Callithrix jacchus: one gene and its partners. The protein of the gene in region 1 purifies or fractionates together with the protein of each later gene. This does not show direct contact. Links are inferred from orthologs where the notes say so. Each region holds a gene or a part of one and is shown in the gene's direction. Other genes may lie near its edges.

Region 1 (8,312 bases):
ACTGGCGTGGTAAAGCTCCTCATCTCTTTCCCTCCCTTTCAAGAACAGGCTGGGGTGGAACTGAGTATCTTCCTGACTCAGAGGAGCTGAGGGAAGGCTGCAGCTGGTGAGGAGGTAACTAAGTGTTCTGTATCAGGAGGATGGTGGATATAGTGCAAATAACAGCCAAAAATGGAGTTAGGCAAAGAGGTGAAGGAGTCATGAAGAACTTTAAGATTTGCTGTGGACAAGCCCCATGCCAATATATGATGTTTTCATAACTTTGAATTGCCAATATGTACATTTGCATTGGGGCAATGGTTACTAAAAGTGATTTCAATTTCTTAACCAATATAACATTAAACAAATGTAACCTTTTGCCACTTAAAAAATAAGTGTAAAGGATTACTATTCTTTAACCAGCTGATGCCCAAAATGAAAAGCGAGTTTGGCTCTTAAATCCCATTCTTAATTTTGGTGTCAAGTCATTATCACAGGAAATATATATTCCTTTCCTTTTTTTTTTTTTTGAGATGGAGTCTTGCTCTGTCACCCAAGCTGGAGTACAGTGGTGTGATCTCGGCTCACTGAAACCTCCACCTCCTGGTTCAAGCAATTCTCCTGCCCCAGCCTGCCGAGTAGCTGGGACTACTGGTGCTGCCCCCACCCCCAGCTAATTTTTGTATTTTTAGTAGAGACAGGGTTTCACCATATTGATCAGGCTGGTCTCAAACTCCTGACCTTGTAATCTGCCCGCCTTGGCCTCCCAAAGTTCTGGGATTACAGGTGTGAGCCAGCATGTTTGGCCAGGAAATATATATTTCTTTTATACCTACTTGCATGTCAGCAGTAAACTATTGGAAAACATAGCAGAGATCCAGGAATGCCAAGCTTACTATCAATAGGACAAATAATTTCTTATATGAAGCCCGTTCAAATAAATCTTGTATGAAATCCATTCATATTTTCCTCATGGAAGTTGTGATTGTTATAACAAGTAACAATATGAAGTTATGTTCTATTACAAAAAAGTTTCAGCCCTCTTAATATTAATTTCTATTATTTAGACAAAAAGTTTGTCATAAAAATTAAAGATGAATAAATGTACCTTTTGAACATTAAATGATTTTCACTTTGAGAATTTGAACTTACATATTTTGTGACTGTATTAAAAATAGGGTCAGAGGCATAGTAATATAAGTGTGAGTGAGCCTTTTTGGGCACATATTATGCACATCATTTAGCTAAATGTAAATGATATGGTGAGTGCTTCCTGAGTAAATAATTTCCATTACATATCAGATTGAGCCATCAGATGATTCTAAAAATACCCATGCTTTCAGTGGCATTTTCTCTGGAGTGGACTGTTTGAGTGCCAAATTACAACCAAGAATGAAATTCCTGGTTCACTGTACATTGTATCAAAGCTTATCAAGTGTTTTTGAACATCGCTGATAATTTTTTCTAAACTGTGATTGAAACTAGGCTAAAGATAAGTTAAAACTTCAGTTATTTCTAATGATTAATTAAGTAGCCTTGAAAACTTTTTTCTGTTTGACATTTCTTGCCACTGATTTATTGTTTCAAAGTCTGATATTCCATACTTAACCTCCTATTTTTCTCTTCTAATATTATGTTACATAATTGCCATGTCACTTATATTGGGTACAATTATAAATATGAAGCCCTTGAAAATATACCTTGTCCCTGTTATGTTCAAGGCAAAAATAACCTTCAAAGTACTAGACCATCACCAATCATATTCAAAATTCTAGGGTTGCAACACCAGGAGCATGATTTGTTAAAGATACCTTACATATTATTCTTCTACATTTGAAATAGTCCCAACTCTTAGCCTTTAAAGGTCAAATTTAACAATTTTCATATCCTTTGAACCCTCTTAACATTGTGTACCTCCATTGATATTTAAGTGATAGTGCCTTGGGTCTGGCCTATGATGAAGGGAAGCAGCGAATAATTTGGGGAGGTCCACAACCTGAAAATAACGCCATCACCCAGCCTTTTTAGCTTTAAAACATAATCTGGAAGGATGTTGCTTCTGAAACAATTTTGCCATCCCTCTGGATTCATTCAGAAAATAGGGCCCTTCTTAGTCTTACCCTAAATCATCCACTTTTGAGGTATCATTTATTTTCTCAGAATCATAGTCTTCCCTTTTTTTTTTTTTTTTTTAGTAAGGAAGAAAACACCACCTGTTGCAGCTTGATGGTGAGATCAATTCAGATAAATTTTATCATAAAAGAAATATATTGCCAAACAAAAAATTTCTCCAGAGAATGAAGATCATGTTGATACTGTAATTTATATCAGACAGTGCAGAGGTTTAGCTATTTCTAGATTGTTTATTGCTAAAGATTTTTCTGATCAGGGCATGTAATTTCAGTGCCTTCTAAAGGCATCATGCCTTTTCAACCATAGCTCTCTCTATAAATTATGAGTTAAGGAATTCTGTTTCACTTGGTAGTAGAAGTTAACTCCTGAAGACTCATGTTGGAAGTCATCTGTGAAATATTCTTGCAAAACAATTGGTGTTTACCTTTTGTGGAAATTAAATTAGTAAGCCTAGAATATTAGAGTCAATCTCATGTTTTATTTCTTACTTTAAAAAAAAGACATTTTGCAAAACTGATGTGAAGATTATAGTGATAGTGGCTCATCAGTGCTGGCACCGGTTTCTTGAAAATTGAAGGTTCTTATTTATCTGCTATGTTATCACCAGTCTTATCGCCAGTCTAAAGGAATGATTCTCTCCAACCCACACACCCCTACACACACACACACAAGCATTTAAAAGACAAGAATGGTTGGTCATTTTCCATTTACTCAGAATGTTTTTATATTTGAAGTCTTATCTTGACTGAAGTTATTACATGAAGTTCACTAATGATAATAGTGACTATATGAATGTATGTTTATATGTATATAATTCATTATATTTCATTGTTTTAAGTACTTTTAGAAATTAACTTAGTCTCATAACACTTGGAGGTAAGTGGGAGAGATTAGGAGCCCAGTTTTAGATATTGAACAAAAACATATCAACAAAAACTCGTTTAATATATAGTATTAAAAATTAAGAGCAACCTAAATGTCCAATAGTAAATAATTGAATGAATAAATTATGAGACTTCCATGCAATGAAGTTCTATGGAGAGAAATAATTGGCACATCTGTATATTATTTACTGACACAGCATATTTACTGAAAATATAAAGCTGGTTATCAAATAGTACTCAGGGAGCAACCACGTTCTATAGAAGAGAAAAAAATATGCTTTGTTTTTGCATAGGAAAAACTAAACGCATAAAACTATAGCAGTAGCAGTTTGTAATGATTTTTTTTGTTTTTATCAATTTTTTTCTATTAACTAATTTTCTAAGTAAGTTTTTGTTAGTGAAAAGAGAAAATATGTATTCTAGTTACCTTCATCTTATGGACTGTATTTTGGGACTCTGAGGCCAAGTTGCAGGGCCATTGTATAGTATAGCAGAGGTAGAGATACTCTTTCCCGTATTTGGGAAATTACAGAGGTACCAAGGACATCCCACTGTAATTTTTCAACAACCATCTGTTTCTGCTAAGAAAATACACTGAAAATAACGAGGAGCAGGTAGAAAGAACTTGGAAGATCCACTCACCTCCCTACTCCAATTCAAGTCGTCTTTAATTGTCTTTCAGATGATTCTAACATAAGGAATTTAAAAATTGTGTCTGTCTTATTAGAACATTTTCCCACTATAGAATGTTAAGATCTACCTTACTTTTTAAAGATTTATTTTATTTTATTTTTTCCTACCTTGCTTTAAAAAAATTGATCCATTTCTCCATTATTGTTGGGGATGGTTAGTCTTTCCTTGGTATCTCAAGTTTTAACTCAGTATACTTATTTTCAGAGCTTAAAATGTATTAAGTTCAGAAAAACTGCCAAATTTAAACCTAACACTTTTTATTGATGGTTTTAAAATACAACTCATTCTAGGCAGGGAGACTTGAAAAACAACTTTATAACGATTTTGTTGTTATGTATCCATTTTCAAGTGCCTGTAGGCAGTGGTGTACTTTATACCAAAATGTAATAATCAGGTTCTAAGAAAATGATGTAACTATGAATTGGCTGCCTGGGTAAAATGATTGATTGATTTATTTGTTTTTTCATTTCAAGGGAGTGAAAAAAATAGATCCTGATTTATATGAAAAGTTTATCAGTCACAGATTTGGAGAAGAAATATTATATCGCATAGATCTTTGCTCCATGGAGAAGAAAAAACAAAGTAATGGTTATTATCACTGTGAATCTTCCATTGTGATTGGTGAGTGTCATTTAGAAAATTATTTATTATATTTATTTTTAATTTCCTTGGCATCACTTTTATCTTGGCAAATATTTAAACTTAGTTGTATATGTTTTTCTCAATGATATACTTTCCTAAATACTATCTATGTATTGACAATGATACATTGGAAATTTTCTAGAGCATTTTTAGTATTTATATTGATAAGTTAAGATTTTACTACCTATTGTTTTTATACCCTGGCTTTAAATATAATTATAATGAAGTCTGGAAATGTTGATTTAGAAATCATTTCAACTTAATTTTATTTCGTGAACATGAAGAAACATTTTCTCCAGGGAAGACCTCCATGACCTTCCACACCACACATTTTTGTATCTGCTGCTTATAATTAGGAAAAAAGGACCCTGGCCAGAAAGTTTCACCTTGAAAAGAGAAAATGTAAGTGGCCTGCAAAAATTGAAAACTTCAATTTCTTCCCTAATAAAGATGTTTTGAGGGGAAGCAAAGATTCATACATAAATGCATCTGTCAGATGGCATGAGATGAGACAGCCTCATATAAAACTGTTTCTAGGTGGAAAGTGTATACACTTACAGAGATCTTTCATCCAGAATAGAACCATTTTCTACATTTTGCAATGTGAATGCATTTCAAAGGAGCCAGCTCTGTTGTGATTCAGATTTATTATTTCAAACCAGACACTATTCTTTTAAAATTGTGAACCTTCAAAACAAACTGATTTGTATTCTTTTAAAATAACATGAAAATACTCAAAGAAGACAAATACAGGCATACCTTGTTTTATTGTCTTTTGCTTTGTTGCGCTTCTCAGGTAATTGCCTTAAAAAACACAGTTTATTTATTTAATTTTAACAGATTGAAGGTTTGTAGCAACTGTGTATCAGTTGTCTTTCTGGGCTGTTTTTCCAACAGCATGTGCTCTTTTTGTGTCAATTACATTTTGGTAATTCTCACAACATTTTAGACTTCATTATTATTTTATCTGTTACGGTGATCAATGGTATTTGATATTATCATTGTTATTATTTTGGGGGACTGCCATATGAATTGTATTCATATATCAAATCAAATAGATAAATGTGTGTGTTCTGACTGCTCCATCGAACAGCCACTCCCTGGTGAAGAGTTGTACATCTCTTAACTTAAATCAAAAGGTAGATATGCTACATTGGAAGGACATGCAAGAAAGAAAAAAAAGCTAGAAATGATTAAGCTTAGGGAGGAAGGCATGTCGAAAGCTAAGATAGTCCGAAAGCTAGGCTTCTTGTACCAGTTAGCCACGTTGTGAATGCCAAGGAAAAGTTCTTAATGGAAATTAAAAGTGCTACTCCAAAGAACACACAAGTCTTGAGAAAGTGAAATAGCCTTATTGCCTATATGGAAAAAGTTTTAGTGGTCTAGATAGAAGATCAAACCAACCACAACATTCCCTTAAGCCAGAGCCTAATCCAGTGTAGGGCCCAAACTCTCTTCAATTCTGTGAAAGGTGAGAAAGGTAAGCAAGGTGCAGAAGAAAAGCTGGAAACCAGCAGAGGCTAGTTCATGAAATTTAAGGTAATAAACTGTCTCCATAACATAAAAGTGCATGGTGATGGAGAAAGTGCTGTTGTAGAAGCTGCAACCAGTTATCCAGAAGATCTGGCTAATATCATTTTTGAAGGTGGCTCTTCGAAACAACAGATTTTCAATGTAGACAAAACACCCTTTTTTGGAAGAAGATGCCTTCTAGGACTTTCATAGCTACATAAGAGAAGTCAGTGCGTGATTTCAAAGTATCAAAGAACAGGCTAACTCTCTTGTGAGGGGCTAATGCAGCTAGTGACTTTTAAGTTGAAGCCAGTGCTCACTGTCCACTTAAAAAATCCTAGGGACCTTTAGAATTATGCTAAATTCACTCTGCCTGTGCTTTATAAATGAAACAGCAAAGCTTGGATGACAGCACATCTGTTTATAGCATGGTTTACTGAATATTTTAACTACTGCTCAGAAAAAGAAAGATTCCTTTCAAATGATTGCTGCTCAGTGACAGTGCACCTGGTCTCCCAAGAACTCTGATGGAAATGTACAAGGAGCTTAGTGTTATTTTCATGCCTGCTAACACAACGACTATTCTGCAGCCCATGGATCAAGGAGTAATTTAGACTTTCAAGCCTTATTATTTAAGAAATATTTTTGTAAGGCTATAGCTCCCATGAATAGTGATTCTTCTGATAGATCTGAGCAAAGCAAATGAAAAAACTTCTGGAAAGGTTTCACCATTCTAGATGTCATTAAGAACACTTACAGTTCCTAGGTGGAAGTTAAAATAGCAACATTAATAGGAGTTTGGAAGAAGTTGATTCCAACCCTCATGGATGATTTTGGGAGGTTCAAGACTTCATTGGAGGAAGTAACTGCAGATGTGATAGAAACAGCAAGAGAACTAGAATAAGGAGTGAAGCCTGAAGATGGAATTGAATTGCTGTAATCTCATGATAAAATTTTAGTGGATGATGAGTTGCTTCTTATGAATGAACAGAACAAGTGGTTTCTTGAGATGGAATCTACTCTTGGTAAAGGTCCTTGAACACTGTTGAAATGGCAACAAAGAATTTAAAATATTACATTAACTTAGTTGCTAAAACAGTGGCTTTAAAGGGTTTGAGAGAATCAACTCCAATTTGAAGAAGTTTTACTGTGGGTAAAATGTTATCAAACAGCATCCCATGCTACAGAGAAATCTTTCATGAAAGGAAGAGTCGATTGATGCAGCAAAGTTCATTATTGTCTTATTTTAAGAAATTGTCACAGCCATTCAACCTCCAGCAAGTACTACCTTGATCAGTCAGCAGCCATCAACATCAGCAGACAAGACCCTCCACCAGCAAAAAGATTACGACTGGCTTAATTCTCAGATGATTGTTAGCATTTTTGGCAATAAGGTGTATTTAAATTAAAATGTGTACATGTTTTAGATATAATATTGCACACTTAATAGACTGCGATATAATGAAACATAATTTTATATGTACTAGGAAACTAGATGATTCATGTGACTTGCATTATTGCAGTGTTTGCTTTATTGCAGTAGTCTGGAACTAACCCATAATATCTCTGAGGTATGGCTGTATATGTAGCTAAATATTGCAAGGTCTTTAACCAAGGTACTTTATCTCCACATCAGCTTGAAGAACACCTATGGATGTATACATCCTGAAAGAATTTTAATACTGACATTTATTAAAGCATTTAAAAATGTTCAGGAGACACAATTTTACTTCCAATTTTTCATTAGAGATTTTCAGAGGTCCTCATTTTACCTTTCAAATACTTCAGCTATTTTAAACAGAAGATATTCAATATGTCGTATGAATTTTATATTCTGAAACATCTCAAGTCTATTTTAAGGAGAATTTTTGTGTTTTCAGAATCTGTAAGAGAGCTGTCTTCCATCCAAGTTTTGATGAGGACCAAACATTTCTGTTTAGGTTCATTGTAAATGAAAAATATAGATACTTCTTGTGTAGGACAGATTTTGGCTAGCTTCCCCATCTTCCCTGCAGTTTATGGCCAACTTGTAGGAGATGCAATGCCTCATTACCTCTCTCACTCCTATTTTAAAAAATTAGGAATATGTTGATATTAGTGAAAATATTGCAGGGCTGGCATTATAAAGCTTATATTCATAGATTACCTAAATTGCCACTGGACAGTTCTGTTCGGCCTACCACCCACCATCACTGTGTTCAAGCCACTGAGATTTTGCTTTTATTGCTCTTTTAACTTATAGTCTTTATAATTTCCCCTTATTTGAGGTAGTTTCTCCAGATCTTTCCATCAAGTTTCATTATTGCTGCTATTGTTTCTAATTCAGAACAATTTTGCCTTTTTCAAACGCTGCCAATCTTGAATCCCCATGCCAGTCATTTCACATTCTTTTGAAAAATTATTTGTGCCTATTACAAATGCTTTTGTGGGTCACATTTGGTGATGGTAATATGAACTTTAAAATCGTAT
Region 2 (7,526 bases), on another chromosome or scaffold:
CCCCACACTGGATAACCTCTTCTGGCTCCCAGCTGGTCCCAGCCATGCCAGCTATTTACTTCCTTTTGCTTCTCTGCCTCAGATGTTCCCTGTCCCTTCCCTGCTAAATTTCACTGCTCTATCTTAGAGGCTTTTTTCAACAAGTAATTATCTGCTCAATGTTTTGGTCCGTTGTAGAGGAGAGTTCTGGGTCAGCCATCATGAAGCCCTGACCTTTATTTTTCATGAGTTCTTTTTTTCTGTTCTTGTACTGTGTATGTTACTGCTTTATGTAGCTTTATAATATTTTAATAAATATTAAATAATATTTTAATATTTAAAAAATATTAAAATAATATTATAATATTTTCTTCACCCTTGTTTACCCTTTCTAAATTTTTTGTTTTCTTGCCCCATGTGCTTTATTTTAGAGTCATTAGGTAATTTATATTTCCTAGAAAATCATCCTTATCTCTTGTATGTTTTCTCTTTCTTTTTTAATTAGACTTGCCAATGGTTTGTATTTTTGGTCTTTCTAAAGATTTATTGAATTTGGGGATTAACAGTAAAGTTGAATATTAGGAGAGAACCTGAATCTTGAGAATTTACCATTATGAACATGTTACTTCTGCATTTACTCAAATATCTTTTGTCCTTCAGTAAAGTTTTAGAAACCCCCTTTCCTCCATACAGGAATGAATTTATGTCTTAAAGTTATTGATTAAATGTATATTTTGATTGCTATTATTAATGTGTTTGCTTTACCATTATAGTAGGATATGGGCAAAACAATTTCTATGTTTATATTACAATTGGTCATCTACTAAATTCTCTTACTGATTTCCACATTTTTCAGTAATTCCTTTGGATTTTTGTTGACAATCACAAGAGATTAGTATATCATTTTGTCTGTCCCTTTTCAGTATTTATATCTCATTTCCATTTTCATTTTATTATATTTATTAAAATGTCTACAACAATATTTTAATGTTTTGTTCCTGCTTTGAATTGAAATGCACTAGAATATATTTTCAGGGATCATTTCTATAGTTTGTTGCCATTCATGTTTTACCACCAAATAGAACGTTTGCCATTTGACTGAGATAGGTATTCTTTATCAGATTAACAAAATATTGTTGATTCTTAATACACTTATTTTATCTTTTTTAACATGTTAGTGTGATGAATTATATCAGGGAGACATCCTCACTTTCCTGGAATGAATACCATTTAATCATGGGGGTATGATTTTAATATTTGCCTGAATCTATCTGCTAAAATTTTATTTGGGCTTTTTACTTCCATAGTCAAAAGTTTTATTAATCTATAGTTTCTGTTTTTCTGAAGCTGGGATTATATGGGATTCATAAAAATGAGTTTAGGAAGTTTCTATGCATTTATTCTTCAGAAAATTTAGGAACATAGGATCATCTTATATCTATTCCTTATCAATTTTAACAAACTAATTCTTGGAGATTGGTCTCTTCAAGTTTTTACTTCTTGAGTAAATTTAAGAAATTTATGTTTCCAATAAAATCCATTTCCCTTTCTTTCTATCATCACTCATATTACCTTTATTATTTTATTTATTGTTAATTAATGCTTTTTAGAGGTATATTTTTAGACTTCCTTGAGGTTTGTCAACTTTATTAGTATTCTAAAGATTTCTAATGTATTTGAATCTTTTCATATTTGTATTTAGAAATAAAATCTTCTGCCAAATAGCAATTATTTACTAATCTATTCATATTATGTTTAGTTTTTAATAATTATTTCTAAAATGGGGTAGAACTAAATTGCCACTACTCATTTAGAGTTTATGTGCTTTTCAAAGGGCTTGACTTATCCCAGGTAATAAACAGCTAACCTACCAACAAGCACCACATTGTAACATACAGGTTGTAGTAATGGACAAATTGATTGACAGCTGAATCTTGATTATCAGTGAAACAGATGTAAGGCTCCCTGGATAATTTACAAATAGAAATAATAGAGTACTTTAATTTAGCCATTTATTTTAATATCTTCTCAACTATTATAACTATGCACAACAGTGCAAAAATCATAGTAAATATGAATAGTTTTCATTGTCTTCTTTGTTCTCTGATGCATCTCCAAATGCATCAAGGGGAAAAAAAGTCAGAACAAAGAAGTGGCCTGAACAATTCAAACTGTACAATCATTTTCTCCACATGATTGCCCCAATAGATTTGTTATTCTAAATTGCTGGCTGGCTAGACAGTAGGCAGCTATCTGCTTAGCTCATTCTTCTGGAGCATGCAAAACAGCAGTCCCCAAAACAGGGCATGCAAGGCAGCCAGCTGTCAAACAAAAAGATAATATGAGAAGTCTCATTCCTGCTTATTTTTACCTTATTCTTTTTAAATGCCTTATTTGTAGGTATATCTTATATAATAGCATAGTCATGCACCTAAATAACTTATAAGTAGATAACTACATCTATTATATGTACTAGAAAATGTTTTACTGAAAGGGATATAAGTTAAAAAGCTGTGGAGAATCATGAATTTGAAACCTGCTTTAGCCACTTATTAGTCATGTGAATTTGGTTGACTCTTTTATAATCTGTAAAATGGGAGTAAGAACACCTGTCCTTCCTTCCTCACAGTGTTGTATTGAGAACAAAATAAAGCAACTGTAGTAGTTTGTAAATTCTATAAAGGCTGTGCAAATTGTGAATTTTTTTTTAAGTTTAAGTTTTTAAAATCTTTTCCTCAAATGTATTCAGTATCCCCATTTAATCTTTACAGAAGACCATAATTGAAGTATTGGAAAGACATTTTAGTTTCAGGATCAAAGGAGAAAACTGTTTAAAGTTTAACAGTTCTCTCATTCTAAAAGAGATATGTTTCTTTCCAACTTCTCAGAAAGTTTTGATGGCCAGATATTTTAAACAAAATAAACTGGGGAATTAATAAAGGAAAGAAATTAAAAGTAAGTCTGAGATTTATCTGTAACTTCAGGAGAAAAGAATTTTTACAAAAGGGATAGAAAAAGATAAGGTTTTTAAAAACAAGGAACTGAAAAAGGAAGGACTAAAGTTTTATAACTTTAGGAGCCAGGATTTTGGTAATTATCCCAGAAATTTCTTAAGTATTTCATTGACCTGCATACTTCCTTGAATGAAAATGTTGAGGTTAATAGCTAACCTACTGCTTGCTGCTTCTTTTAGCACTTTTTTTTTCTCTCTCTCAATAATAGGTTGAAGCTCCATTCATACCAAAGTTTAGAGGCTCTGGAGATACCAGCAACTTTGATGACTATGAAGAAGAAGATATCCGTGTGTCTATAACAGAAAAATGTGGAAGAGAATTTGATGAATTTTAAAGAGGAACAAGATGACATCCGAGCTCACACTCAGTGATTGCACTCTGTTGAGAGATAAGGTAGAGCTGAGACCGTCCTTGCTGAAGCAGTTACCCAGTTCCTTCATTCCAACTGAGTGAGGTCTTTATTGCCATCATCCCGTGTGTGCACTCTGCATCCACCTATGTAACAAGGCACCGCTAAGCAAGCATTGTCTGTGCCATAACACAGTACTAGACCACTTTCTTACTTCTCTTTGGGTTGTCTTTCTCCTCTCCTACATCCATTTCTTCCTTTTCCAGTTTCATTGTTTTCTCTAAACAGTGCTCCATTTTATTTTGTTGGTGTTTCAGATGGGCAGTGTTATGGCTATGTGATATTTGAAGGGAAGGATAAGTGTTGCTTTTAGTAGTTCATGCCAATATTGTTGTTGGTCAATGGCTTGAAGATAAACTTTCTAATAATTATTTTTACTTTGAGTAGCTCAGATTTGGTTTTGCCAAAACTCTTGATAATTTTTGAAGACTGTCTTATCACCAAGGAAATGTATACAAATTAAGACTAACTTTCTTGGAATTCACTATTCTGGCAATAAATTTTGGCAGACTAATACAAACAGCTAGACCCAGAAATTTGGATTGCTACAAATCAGAGGTTCTAGTTCCCTTTCCCTCCTTTTATGTCCTCCTCCCCTTGAGCAATGAAGTGACCAGCCTTTGTAGTGTGACAAATGTGTCTCATTCAGCAGGAAAAACTAATGACATGGATCATCACTCAGATTCTCTCACTTGGTACCAGCATTTTTGTAGGTATTAGAGAAGAGTTTAAGTTTTCTAAACCTTAATTGTTCCTTAAGGATTTTAGCCAGTATTTTAATAGAACCTGATTAATGAAAGTTTTAAAGTTTCTTTTATAGTTCTCATCATAAAATTTTTAAAGGAAAATAAGCAAACTAAAAAGAACATTGGTTTGGATAAATACTTATACTTTTCAAAGTCAAAAAAAGGCTTGATTATTGCAACAATATAGAGGTACTTATCTTTAAATGAGGGTTAACTGTTTTGTTTTGTAACCGTTAAAAATGAAAGAAGTTGTTTCCAGCTAATGATTCTGGTGTACTATAGTTGTGAGCCTAGGGTAGGGGCACTGCTGCAACTTCTGCTTTCATCCCATGCCTCATCAATGAGGAAAGGGAACAAAGTGTATCAAACTGCCACAATTGCATTTTCATTTTGAGGTATGATATTTTCAGAGAGTTCATCATTTCTAACCTCTTTTCTCTCAATAAACAGAATGTCTAAACGATCGTGCAGATACAATTTTAGTATTTGAGAGGTTAGTTTTTTTCCTACACCTTTTTTGCCAACTGACTCAACAACATTGCTGTCAGGTGGAAATTTCAAGCACTTTTGCACATTTATTTCAGTGTTTGTTGAGAATCCATGGCTTAACTCAGTTGTTTTGCTTTTTCTTTGCTTTTAATTTTCCCCATCTGATTTTACCTCTGTTTCAGTGACCTACCTTAAAACTACACACAAGAAGAGTTAAACTAGGTTCATTTTTATGATCAATTTACATGCATATAAAGTGAGTTGTTTTTAATCAAACTGATCTTAATGTATATAACCATTCTATTTGCTTTATTATCGGTGCAGGTAGGTCACTCACATCACTTCTCATACGTACCACACCCTTGTAAAATCTTTGAAGACTTAAAAAAAATCCTGTCTGAGATGTTCTTTTACCAATCTATATGTCTTTCGGTTATCAAGTGTTTCTGCATGGTAATGTCACGTAAAGGCCAATATTGATTTCACTGGTCCATCTATATTTAAAATGTGCAATTTAAAATATTCTGCTCTAGCAAGTTTTGTGTAACAAAAGCATATCATCATGTTAATAAATTTAAAACGTCATTTGTATAAAATATTTTAATTTTCTTGTATTTCATTAAGACCCAAGAACATGCTGACCAATGTATTCTATATGTAAACTACAAATTCTATGGTAGCTTTGTTGTATATTATTGTAAAATTATTTTAATAAGTCATGGGGATGACAATTTGATTATTACAATTTAGTTTTCAGTAATCAAAAAGATTTCTATGAATTCTAAAAAATATTTTTTTCTATGAAATTACTAGTGCCCAATGATAGAATCTACCTTAGGTAGATGACCCCTAGACATATATTGCTTTTGAGGGCTATTCAGCCATTCCATTTTAAGGCCACTCTATTTAAAGGACATGAGCAAGCTTGTCATGAGCAAATAAGTCAAGGGAGTTCATTTCTGACCACTCAAGTACACTAAATTAGAATATTTTTAAAGTATGTAAAATTCCCAATTTGAGCCCCAATTTAGCCAAGAACAGGTTAAAAACTTGAATAAGAAATAAGTAGCATAAATCAGTATTTAACCTCAAATTACATTATTTAAAACAGAAGATATTATATTATGCTCAGTAAATGATTAAGAGATGGCATTGTAGAAGAAGGAGCCCTAGACTGAAAGTCAAGACATCTGAGTTTCAGGCTGGAAAACAGTATGATCTCAGCCTCAGTTCTCTTATCTGTAAAATGCAAGAATTGGATTAGGCAGTTTGTAAGATTCCTCCTAACTTTCACAGTTGTTGACAAGATTGCCTTTTTATCTGGTATTTTGAAAGGATATATTGCTTTGAAGCAAGTCTCAGTAAGGTGATACATTTTAGGGCATCTTTCTTCTTATCTCTGACAGTGTTCTTAAAATACTTTGAATATCATAAGAACCTTGGGGTCTGTCCTAATTCCTTTCTCATTCACTGATGCTGAATACCCAGTTGCATCAAACTGTCAACCTACCAAAAAAGATACTGTGGCTTATGGGTATTGCTGTCTCATTCTTGGTATATTCTTGTATTGACTGCCCATTGGCCTGAAAATACTCATTGTAAGCCTGAAAAAAAAAATTCCTTTCCCACTGTTTTTTCTGCTTGTTGTAAGAATCAAATGAAATAATGTATGTGAAAGCACCTTGTAAACTGTAACCTATCCATGTAAAATGTTAAGGTGTGTTGTTATTTCATTAATTACTTCTTTGTTTAGAGTGGAATTTCCTATGCCCTACTGTAGCTAGGAAATGCTGAAAACAACTGTGTTTTTTAATTAATCAATAACTGCAAAATTAAAGTCTCTTCAACGGATAAGACAATTGATTGAGTCTTGAATTCTGCTTGATGCCCTTATCTTCTGATTTATTTTCCGCTGATACAAGAGATACTTATAGATTCCTAGTTTTTATGTATTTGGGTTGGTTTCTGGGTGGTGGGAGCAGAGCAAATGGACAAGGAATATATCCACCAGTTTACTCACACTAGATGTTTACTAAGAAACTGCTAGATTCATTTCATAGTTTCTCAAAAGTATTTCTACTTCCTTCTCATTTCTCATATTGGTTCAGATTACTCCTAACACAATGTTCTAAATATTCATATTTAAAGGATTTGATACTTCAAGAGCTGTTATCCTTATACTGTAACAATGAACTATTAATTTCTAATTTTCTCTTCAGGAGTGTTTTTGAACTACACATTACCTCTTTTCATTTTAGCCAAGTTAATTAGTGTGTATTTCCATAGTTGGCCTTTACCTCATGAAATACTCATTTCTTTAGATAATTTTAATGGCTTGCCATTTTGTATGATTGTTCTCAAAACATTTATATTTATGCATTTTATAACATGGAGCTTACTATTTTTATACCAGTGCTCACTTCATTTTATCATTATCAGGGCTTAATATAAATTGCAGTTTTTTCATTTCCTTATAAAACTGATTACAAAAATCTAGGTATGTCTTCACTGCAGAACTATCATCATTTGAAATCTATTTAACTGTAAATTTTCTCTTGTGCACAAATACTGGATATGAAGTTAAGTACTTATTTTCATTTAAACTTTTTTGAAGATTTTCCATATGCTTATTTAATGGCATTTATGCATGGTGTTATGGCCTGGATTGTGAGCTGTGAACAAAATTCATACTGAAATTCTAACCACTAATAACTTACCATATGATTGTTTTAGGAGATAAGGTCTTTAAAGAGTTAATTAAAGTAAAACGAGGTTATATGGGTGGGACTTCATCCAAGATGATTGATGTTCTCATAAAAAGCACACAGACAAAGGGAGGACCACATGAAGACATAGGGAGAAGATGACCATCTATAGGACAAGTACAGA
Region 3 (8,312 bases), on another chromosome or scaffold:
AAAAATTTTTTTAACTTACAAACTTGTAAGTTTACAAATGTCATTTTGTTTTATTTTATTTCTTGAGATAGAGTTTCGTTCTTGTCACCCAGGCTAGAGTTCGGTGGCACGATCTCGGCTCACCGCAACCTCTGCCTCTCGGGTTCAAGCGATTCTCCATCTCAGCCTCCTGAGTAGCCTGGAGTACAGGTGCAGGCCACCTCACCTGACTAATTTTCATAGTTTTAGTAGAGACGGGGTTTCTCCATGTTGGTCAGGCTGGTCTCAAACTCCTGACCTCAGGTGATCTGCACCCCTCGGCCTCCCAAAGTGCTGTGGTGACAGGTCTGAGCCATGGTGCTGGCCCTGTAGTTGTATTTTAGATAGATAGCTGTAGATTCACTTTATATACAATAAAATGCACAGATCTCCAGTGTTACATTCCACAAATGTTGACAGTTGTACACAGCCACCTAACCTCCATCCAAAACAGTATATGGAACTTTTTCTATCTCCCCAGAAAATTCTCTTGAATCCCTTCTTTTTCCCTCCAATAATAAGCAAAGGTGGGGTCTTGCTGTACTGCCCAGGCTGGTCTCGAACTCCTGGGCTCAAGCGATCTGCTCACCTTGAGCCCCCCAAAATATTGGGATTACAGGCGTGAGCTAATGTGCCCGACTGACTCCCTCTCCTGACACGTCAGGTCCCCGACAAAGGCAGTCATCCTTTGACTTCAAACACCGTGCCTTTGTTTTGTCTGGGTGTGGACATGACATAAATGGAATCATTCGTGTTCTTTTGTGTCTTCTCTTACTTAACATAATCGGTTTGAAATGCAGCCACGTTGTGGAGTGGAGGCAGGCAATGTCCTGCTGGCGGTGGTGGTGCTGAGTGGAATTCCATTGTATGAATAGAGCTCAGTCTGTGATTCCATTCCCCTGTGGATGGACCTACAGGCTGTTTCCCAGGTCGGGCCACCTAAGAATCAGGTGCCTGGCCTTTCTGACAGCTGGACTGGGGGTGTCTTCCCCTGGGGGAGGCTCTGCAGGGCCACCTGCTAGACCCTTTTGGGGCCTGGCCATTGACGTTCACCTCCCCGTTTGTCCCCATCAGTGAGCCCCATGCCCGTTTCTACGCGGCCCAGATCGTCCTGACCTTCGAATATCTGCACTCGCTGGATCTCATCTACAGGGACCTGAAGCCAGAGAATCTGCTCATCGACCAGCAGGGCTACATTCAGGTGTCCACCAGGCCGGGCGAGGGGCAGCCCTGGGCAAGCCGTGGCCTGGCCCCTCCCTCCCTGCCAACTGCTTATTCTTGTGCCCACAGGTGACAGACTTCGGTTTCGCCAAGCGTGTGAAGGGCCGCACTTGGACCTTATGTGGGACCCCTGAGTACCTGGCCCCCGAGATCATCCTGAGCAAAGTAGGCGCCTCCCCAGCCCTCCCCTTCCCCTGAGGCTGGCTCTGCTCGCTATCTCTCGCCCCCGCCTTACCCTGTTCCCTCCCAATCTCACTCCAGGGCTACAACAAGGCTGTGGACTGGTGGGCCCTAGGGGTTCTTATCTATGAGATGGCCGCTGGCTACCCGCCCTTCTTCGCAGACCAGCCCATCCAGATCTATGAGAAGATCGTCTCTGGAAAGGTGAGGCCTGGATGAGGGGCACAGTCCTGAAAGAATGAGACAGTCCCTTCCCCGCTCACCCATCCTACTCTCTGGGGAGCCCTGCTTGTTGTCAGAATCACCTAGAAGTTCCGTAAGTCAGGCCAGGTGGTGAAGCTGGATGTGCCAATACCATGAGCCCCCTGGCTGTCCAGCGCCAACCCCACGGTTCCAGAATCCCAGGGGCTTCCAAAATCCCGAGCCTCACGGGAACTTCCCTGCTGCAAAACACAAACCACCTTGCCAGGCGACCCTCCTCACCTCTCCTTGTCCCCGTCAGTGTGAGTTTTCGCAAGTTCCAAGATGTATTTGGTTCCCAGGTGCAGTCTGCAGCCTCACCAGGAAGGACCCTCGCTTAGGGTTTAAGGCCCATGCTTCCTCTCGAAAACACAGATTTGTCAAACTCTGAAAGTTCAGATTAAGGGTGGTAAAACCATGTAAGCTTGTATCTGTGACAGGTGCAAAGTGCCTGCCATCTGCCAGGCCCCAGATTCACCCCCCTCAGTCACACCCTGAGATGGTGGCACCCTCTGTAGGAGAGGTGAGGAAACTGGCTGGGAAAAGAGATGTGTCCTGACCAAGATCACACCTTAGTGAGTAAGAGGAGTCATCATAGGCACTGATGGCCAGAGAGGTTGGGGACCCCACCTCTGCCCTCAGCTCAGCCACCTTGCTGGGAGGACCCAGCCATCCTCCGACCTGGTCCAGCATCTCCTACATAGGAGCTTCTGGTCGGCCCAGAGTCACCACACCCGGTGGGAGCACCCTCAGGCTCAGCCTGGGCCCAGTGCTGGCTTTGAAACTTTGGGGCTGGGTGCAATGGCTCACGCCTGTAATCACACCACCTTGGGAGGTGGAGGCTTGAGGCCAGGAGTTCCAGACAAGCCAGGGCAACATAGCCAGACCCCATCTCTTTAAAAAATAAAATCTAAAAATTAGCTGGGCATGATGGTGCACCCCTAGTCCCAGCTAATCGGGAGGCTGAGGCAGGAGGATCATTTGAGCCCAAAAGATCAAGGCTGCAATGAGCTGTGATTGCACCACTGCAATCCAGCCTGGGCTAAGAGCCAGATCCTGTCTTAAAAAAATTCAGGCAACTGGGGTTCTCTGGTTAGACACATAGCATCACTAAAAGGGAAAGATGGAAGGCCAGGCACAGTGCCTCACACCTGTAACCCCAGCACTTTGGGAGGCCAAGGCAGGTAGATCACGAGGTCAGGGGTTCAAGACCAGCCTGGCCAAAATGGTGAAACCCCATCTCTACTAAAAATACAAAAAATTAACCAGGCATGGTGACGGGTGCCTATAATCCCAGCCACTAGGGAGGCTGAGGCAGAGAATTGCTTGAACCCAGGAGGCGGAGGTTGCAGTGAGCTGAGATTGCACCACTCCACTCCAGCCTGGGCAACAGAGCAAGACTCCATCTCTCAAAAAAAAAAGAAAAAAAGAAAAGGAAAGATGAGGCATTTGCCACTAGGCCGAATAGAAATTGCCAAGAAAATGGCCCAGAGTGGGAAAAAATGGAGAAAAAAGCCACAGAAGATCCCACAGGGGAAGACGCACATGATGCCCTTCTTTGTAGCATTTTCCAGTCCCCCCGCACCCTCAGTGGTATTATCTTCCTCGTGCAGCCCTGAGAGGTTAAGGGCCATGGCCAAGGTCACACAGCATGTAAGAGGCACAGCAGGAACAAGAAGTCATTTCTTGCAACTATAACTCCAGTGACGACTTGTCTACAAGGCTATGTACTCAGAACGTTTGGGGAAGATTTCTACAAGAGTTGGGCTGGGCTTTAAAGAATGGAAGAGACTTAGCTAGGCAGGGAGAGAGGGAAAAACGTTTAACATAAGCATGACTATTTCAGAAGTCTACAGACCCCAGCACAGATGGCTTACGGCAGCAGTAGCTGAGAATGCAAGTTCTAGAGTCCCACAGACCTGAGATGGAATTGCCCCGTCCCACTCCTCAGCGTGACCTTTGAAGAGTTCTTTAACCCTTCCAAGCCTCAGTTTCCCCTTCTCTGAAATGGAAACCATAATAGCACTTGCCTTATGGTTGTTAAAGGGGACTCCTTTCCAGCAGGACTATTGCTGGGGAATTGGCTAGAAATGCAGACTTTTGGGCCAGCCACGATGGCTCACACCTGTAATCCTAGCACTTTGGGAGGCCAAGGTGGGTGGATCACCTGAGGTCAGGAGTTCGAGACCAGCCTGACCAATATGGCAAAACTCTGTCTCTAGTAAAAATATAAAAATTAGCTGGGTCTCGTGGCGTGCGCCTGTAATCCCAGCTACTTGGGAGGCTGAGACAGGAGAATTGGTTGAACCCAGGAGGCGGAGGTTACAATGAGCTGAGATTGCGCCACTGCACTCCAGCATGGGTGACAAAGTGAGACTCTGCCTCAAAGAAAAAAAAAAAAATGCAGATTCTTGTTGGGTGTGGTGGTTCATGCATATAATCCCAGTACTTTGTGATGCCGAAGCAGGATCATTTGAGCCTTGGAGTTCGAGACCAGCGTGGGCATCGTAGCGAGACCCTGTCTCTACAAACACTTTTTTTTTTTTGAGACAGAGTCCTGCTCTGTCGCCCAGGCTGGAGTGCAGTGGCACAATCTCGGCTCACTGCAACCTCCACCTTCTGGGTTCAAGCAATTCTCCTGCTTCAGCCTCTGGAGTAGCTGGGACTACAGGCACGCACCACCATGCCCAGCTAATTTTTGTATTTTTAGTAGAGCTGGGGTTTCACCATGTTGGCCAGGCTGGTCTCAAACTCCTGACCTTGTGATCTGCCCACCTCAGCCTCCCAAAGTGCTAGGATTACAGGCGTGAGCCACTGTGCCCAGCCAAAAACTTCTTAGAGTAACTAGCTCTTTAATTTTTAAAAAGTTGTTTGAGAAATGCATATTCTCAGGCCACAGTATCAGACTTCCTAAACCAGAAACTCTAGGGTGGGCCCAAGGAGCTGTTTTACAGGATGCCAGCAGGCACTCAGCTTTGGAGGCACCCACCCAGTAGGACTGCTGGATGGAGAAGGAAGCATCCTGGGCTCCCCAAGTTCCAGAGCAGCTTCCCACCCTGTCCTTGTACCCCTTCCTCCAGGTGCGGTTCCCTTCCCACTTCAGCTCTGACTTGAAGGACCTCCTGCGGAACCTCCTGCAGGTAGATCTCACCAAGCGCTTTGGGAACCTCAAGAATGGGGTCAACGATATCAAGAACCACAAGTGGTTTGCCACGACTGACTGGATCGCCATCTACCAGAGGAAGGTGGGCCTCCCCTCCTTAAGCCTGCTGAAGATTTGGGGGCAGGCCAAGAGTCAGGGAGGACAACCAACAGAGAGATAGAAAGGGAAGAGGGCCAGGCTCAGAGGCTCACGCCTGTCATCCCAGCACTTTGGGACGCCAGGGTGGGTGAATCACCTGAGGTCAGAAGTTCAAGACCATCCTAGCCAACATGGCGAAACCCCATCTCTACTAAAAACACAAAAATTAGCTGGGCATGGTGCCAAGCGCTTGTAATCTCAGCTACTCAGGAGGCTGAAGCAGGAGAATTGCTTGAATCTGGGAGGCAAAGGTTGCAGTAAGCCAAGCACTCCAGCCTGGATGACAGAGTGAGACTGTCTCAAAACAAAATAGAAAGAAAGAAAGAAAGGGAAGAGAACATGGGAGGTACAGGAGCAACCTAGAGTAGAGTGCTTAGAGCCAGTGGGATCTAGAAATGGAATTCTGGTGTCATTTGACCATTCCATGACCTAGTGCAGAAGATGCCTCTCTCTGGGAAGTAATTTCCCCTTGAGCTGGCTACATGTAGAATTTCTGGTTGTTAAGAGGAATCCATAACCTAATGCTAAGCACAGGCCTGAGTCAGAGTAACTATCTCTTGAACATTAGGCCATTCACATTTATTGTTGTAATAATGATTATGTTGAATGCTGAGGTATGGGTGGTTTTTGATCCCTCTCCAGGTGGAAGCTCCCTTCATACCAAAGTTTAAAGGCCCTGGGGACACGAGTAACTTTGACGACTATGAGGAAGAAGAAATCCGGGTCTCCATCAATGAGAAGTGTGGCAAGGAGTTTAATGAGTTTTAGGGGTGTGCCTGTGCCCCCATGGGTTTTCATTTCTTTCCTTTTTTTGTTGTTGTTGTTGGGGGGGGTGGGAGGGTTGGATTGAACAGCCAGAGGGCCCCAGAGTTCCTTGCATCTAATTTCACCCCCACCCCACCCTCCAGGGTTAGGGGGAGCAGGAAGCCCAGATAATCGGAGGAACAGAAACACCAGCTGCTCCCCCTCATCCCCTTTGCCCTCCGGCCCCCCCCTCCCATTTTTCCCTTCCTCCTCCCCCACAGCCCCTACCCCAGCCCACTTCTGCCTGTTTTAAACGAGTTCCTCAACTCCAGTCAGACCAGGTCTTGCTGGTGTATCCAGGGACAGGGTGTGGAAAGGGGCTCAAACTCAACTCCAGCCCCCACCCACACCCCCATCCCACCCAACCACAGGCACCACTTGCTAAGGGCAAATGAACAAAGCGCCAACCTTCCCTTTGGAGTAATCCTGCCTGGGAAGGAGAGATTTTTAGTGACATGTTTAGTGGGCTGCTTGCTAGAATTTTTTTAAAAACGATTTAAAATCTTATTTAAGTTCCACCAGTGCCTCCCTCCCTCCCTCCTCTACTCCCACCCCTCCCATGTCCCCCCATTCCCCAATCCATTTTAATGAGAAGCAGACTGACTTTGGAAAGGGAGGCGCTGGGGTTTGAACCTCCCCGCTGAGCTGCTAATCTCCTCTGGGACCCTCCCTGGGGGATCCTCTCTGCCAATCCTGCGAGGGTCTAGTCCCCTTTAGGAATCCTCCGCTCTCTTCTTCCCCAGCAGACCTGTCTTCACCCTTGGGCTTTGAGAGCCAGACAAAGCAGCTGTCCCTCTCCCTGCCAAAGAGGAGTCATCCCCCAAAAAGACAGAGGGGGAGCCCCAAGCCCAAGTCTTTCCTCCCAGCAGCAATTTCCCCCAACTCCTTAATTTTATTCTCCACTAGATTTTAATGTCCAGCTTTCCCTCAGCTCAGTGGGGAGGGCATATCTGCAAAAGGACACGGAAGAGGCCAAGTGCCCCCACGTCTTGGCCCGGCGTTCAAGGCTAGAGCTGCTGGGGAGGAGCTGCCTGTTTTACTCACCCACCAGCTTCCGCCTCTGCCATCCTGGGTCCCCCTCCTCCGGCTTAGCTGTCAGCTGTCCATCACGTCTCCCCCCAGTCTCATTTGTGCATTTTTCTCTCTTAATAGAAAAGTGGAGACTACCCCGTTCATCCCCTTATTTCCCCCTCTCATAACTTCTCCCCATCCCAGGAGGAGTTCTCAGGCCTGGGACGGGGCCCCGGGTGGGTTCGGGGGCGATTCAACCTGTGTGCTGAGAAGGACGAGACTTCCTCTTGAACAGTGTGCTGTTGTAAACATATTTGAAAACTATTACCAATAAAGTTTTGTTTAAAAAAAAAAGTGTCGCTGGTGTTCTCGACTTCGATCACCCACCCACACACCCCCAGGGGGTTGAGGAGGGAATTTCGGACCCCAGCGTGCAGGCCAATCAGGTCCTGGCCTGGAGTCCTTATAAACAGGGTTTAGTTGAAATTCCGGCACTCCTTCGGCCCCGCAGGAGAAACCAGCGTCAAACTGCCCTTTGACCCCAGCTTCGGGGTCCCCAAATCTGCGGTGCGCCCCCTCGGCGTCCAGCCCGGGATCGAGAGGGCGCTCTAGGGAGGCGCTGGGGCCCGCGCGCCAGGAGGCCGAGCGGCGGCGGGGGCGGCACTGGCAAGGGGAGTAGAAGGGGGGAGAGGGTGCGCGGCCCCCTCTCCGCATCCTCAGCGCCGGGCCAGGCCCGCCGGAGGGACGCGGGGGCGGCGGCAGCAAGAGGGTTCCCGCAGCACCCTGCGAGCGCGGCGGCCCCAGCCCGCGGGCGGCGAGTTCCCGGTAAGTGCGGTCCCGAGAGCGGAGCGCGCCGGGGAGGCGTGGAGAGGGGGGCTGGGCGCCGGGGACGTCTGGGTCCCGCGCCCAATGGCTGGAGGGCGGCCGAGCACCGCCCGCCCGCCCTGCCCGCCCCCTCACCCCTCCCCCCGGCACTCCCCTCCCCCTCCCCCGCCCGCCGCTTTTCCCCCGCCCCCGCCCCGGCGCCAACTCCGCGGCGCCTCCTTAAAAAGCGCGCGGGAGTTGTAAGGGGGGGCCGGAGCGAGCCAGAGTGAGCGAGAGCGCAGGGTAAAGGGGGCGGGCGGGGGGCCCGGGCTCCACCTTAAAAGCGGGCGCGTGGGGGTGGGAGGGAGGAAGGCGGGCGGCGGGGAGGAGGGAGGGAGGGAGGGAAGGAAGGGGGGCCGGAGTGTCCCGGGCGCAGGGCGCGCGTGCGGCGGCGGCGGCGGGGAGGGGCCGGCCGCGCGGCGCTCCCCTCCTCCTCCTCGCATCCCCGGCCCCGCGCGCGCCCAGCAGAAGCGGGTCTGTGTGTGCGTGCGTGCGAGTGAGTGAGTGTGTGCATATTTTTTTTCCTCTCTTTTCTTTCTCTCTCACTGTTTTTTTCTCTCTCTCGCTCCCTCTCTCTCTTTTTTTTTTTTTTTTTGCAAAGAAACAGCAGCGCCGCCGCCGCTCCGCCGAGGCGCTGCGCCCCCCGGGGGGGGGAGGCGGAGGAGGCGGGCAG

What was found.
Region 2: the proteins of AKAP7 (region 1) and PRKACB purify together in Homo sapiens (affinity purification with mass spectrometry; 4 studies listed by BioGRID and IntAct, counting the BioPlex papers as one, with this or other methods). This does not show direct contact. The link is inferred for Callithrix jacchus from reciprocal best matches to the Homo sapiens genes AKAP7 and PRKACB.
Region 3: the proteins of AKAP7 (region 1) and PRKACA purify together in Homo sapiens (affinity purification with mass spectrometry; 4 studies listed by BioGRID and IntAct, with this or other methods). This does not show direct contact. The link is inferred for Callithrix jacchus from reciprocal best matches to the Homo sapiens genes AKAP7 and PRKACA.

What each region holds. Positions count from the first base shown.
Region 1 is NC_133505.1:137,883,116-137,891,427, forward strand, and holds part of AKAP7 (A-kinase anchoring protein 7), read left to right. Parts: intron 1-4,162; coding exon 4,163-4,310; intron 4,311-8,312. UniProt on the Homo sapiens protein: Probably targets cAMP-dependent protein kinase (PKA) to the cellular membrane or cytoskeletal structures.
Region 2 is NC_133508.1:121,453,475-121,461,000, forward strand, and holds the end of PRKACB (cAMP-dependent protein kinase catalytic subunit beta), read left to right. Parts: intron 1-3,201; coding exon 3,202-3,327; 3' UTR 3,328-6,496; downstream 6,497-7,526. UniProt on the Homo sapiens protein: Mediates cAMP-dependent signaling triggered by receptor binding to GPCRs.
Region 3 is NC_133523.1:12,869,970-12,878,281, reverse strand, and holds the end of PRKACA (cAMP-dependent protein kinase catalytic subunit alpha), read left to right. Parts: intron 1-1,092; coding exon 1,093-1,219; intron 1,220-1,308; coding exon 1,309-1,404; intron 1,405-1,500; coding exon 1,501-1,623; intron 1,624-4,739; coding exon 4,740-4,904; intron 4,905-5,602; coding exon 5,603-5,728; 3' UTR 5,729-7,129; downstream 7,130-8,312.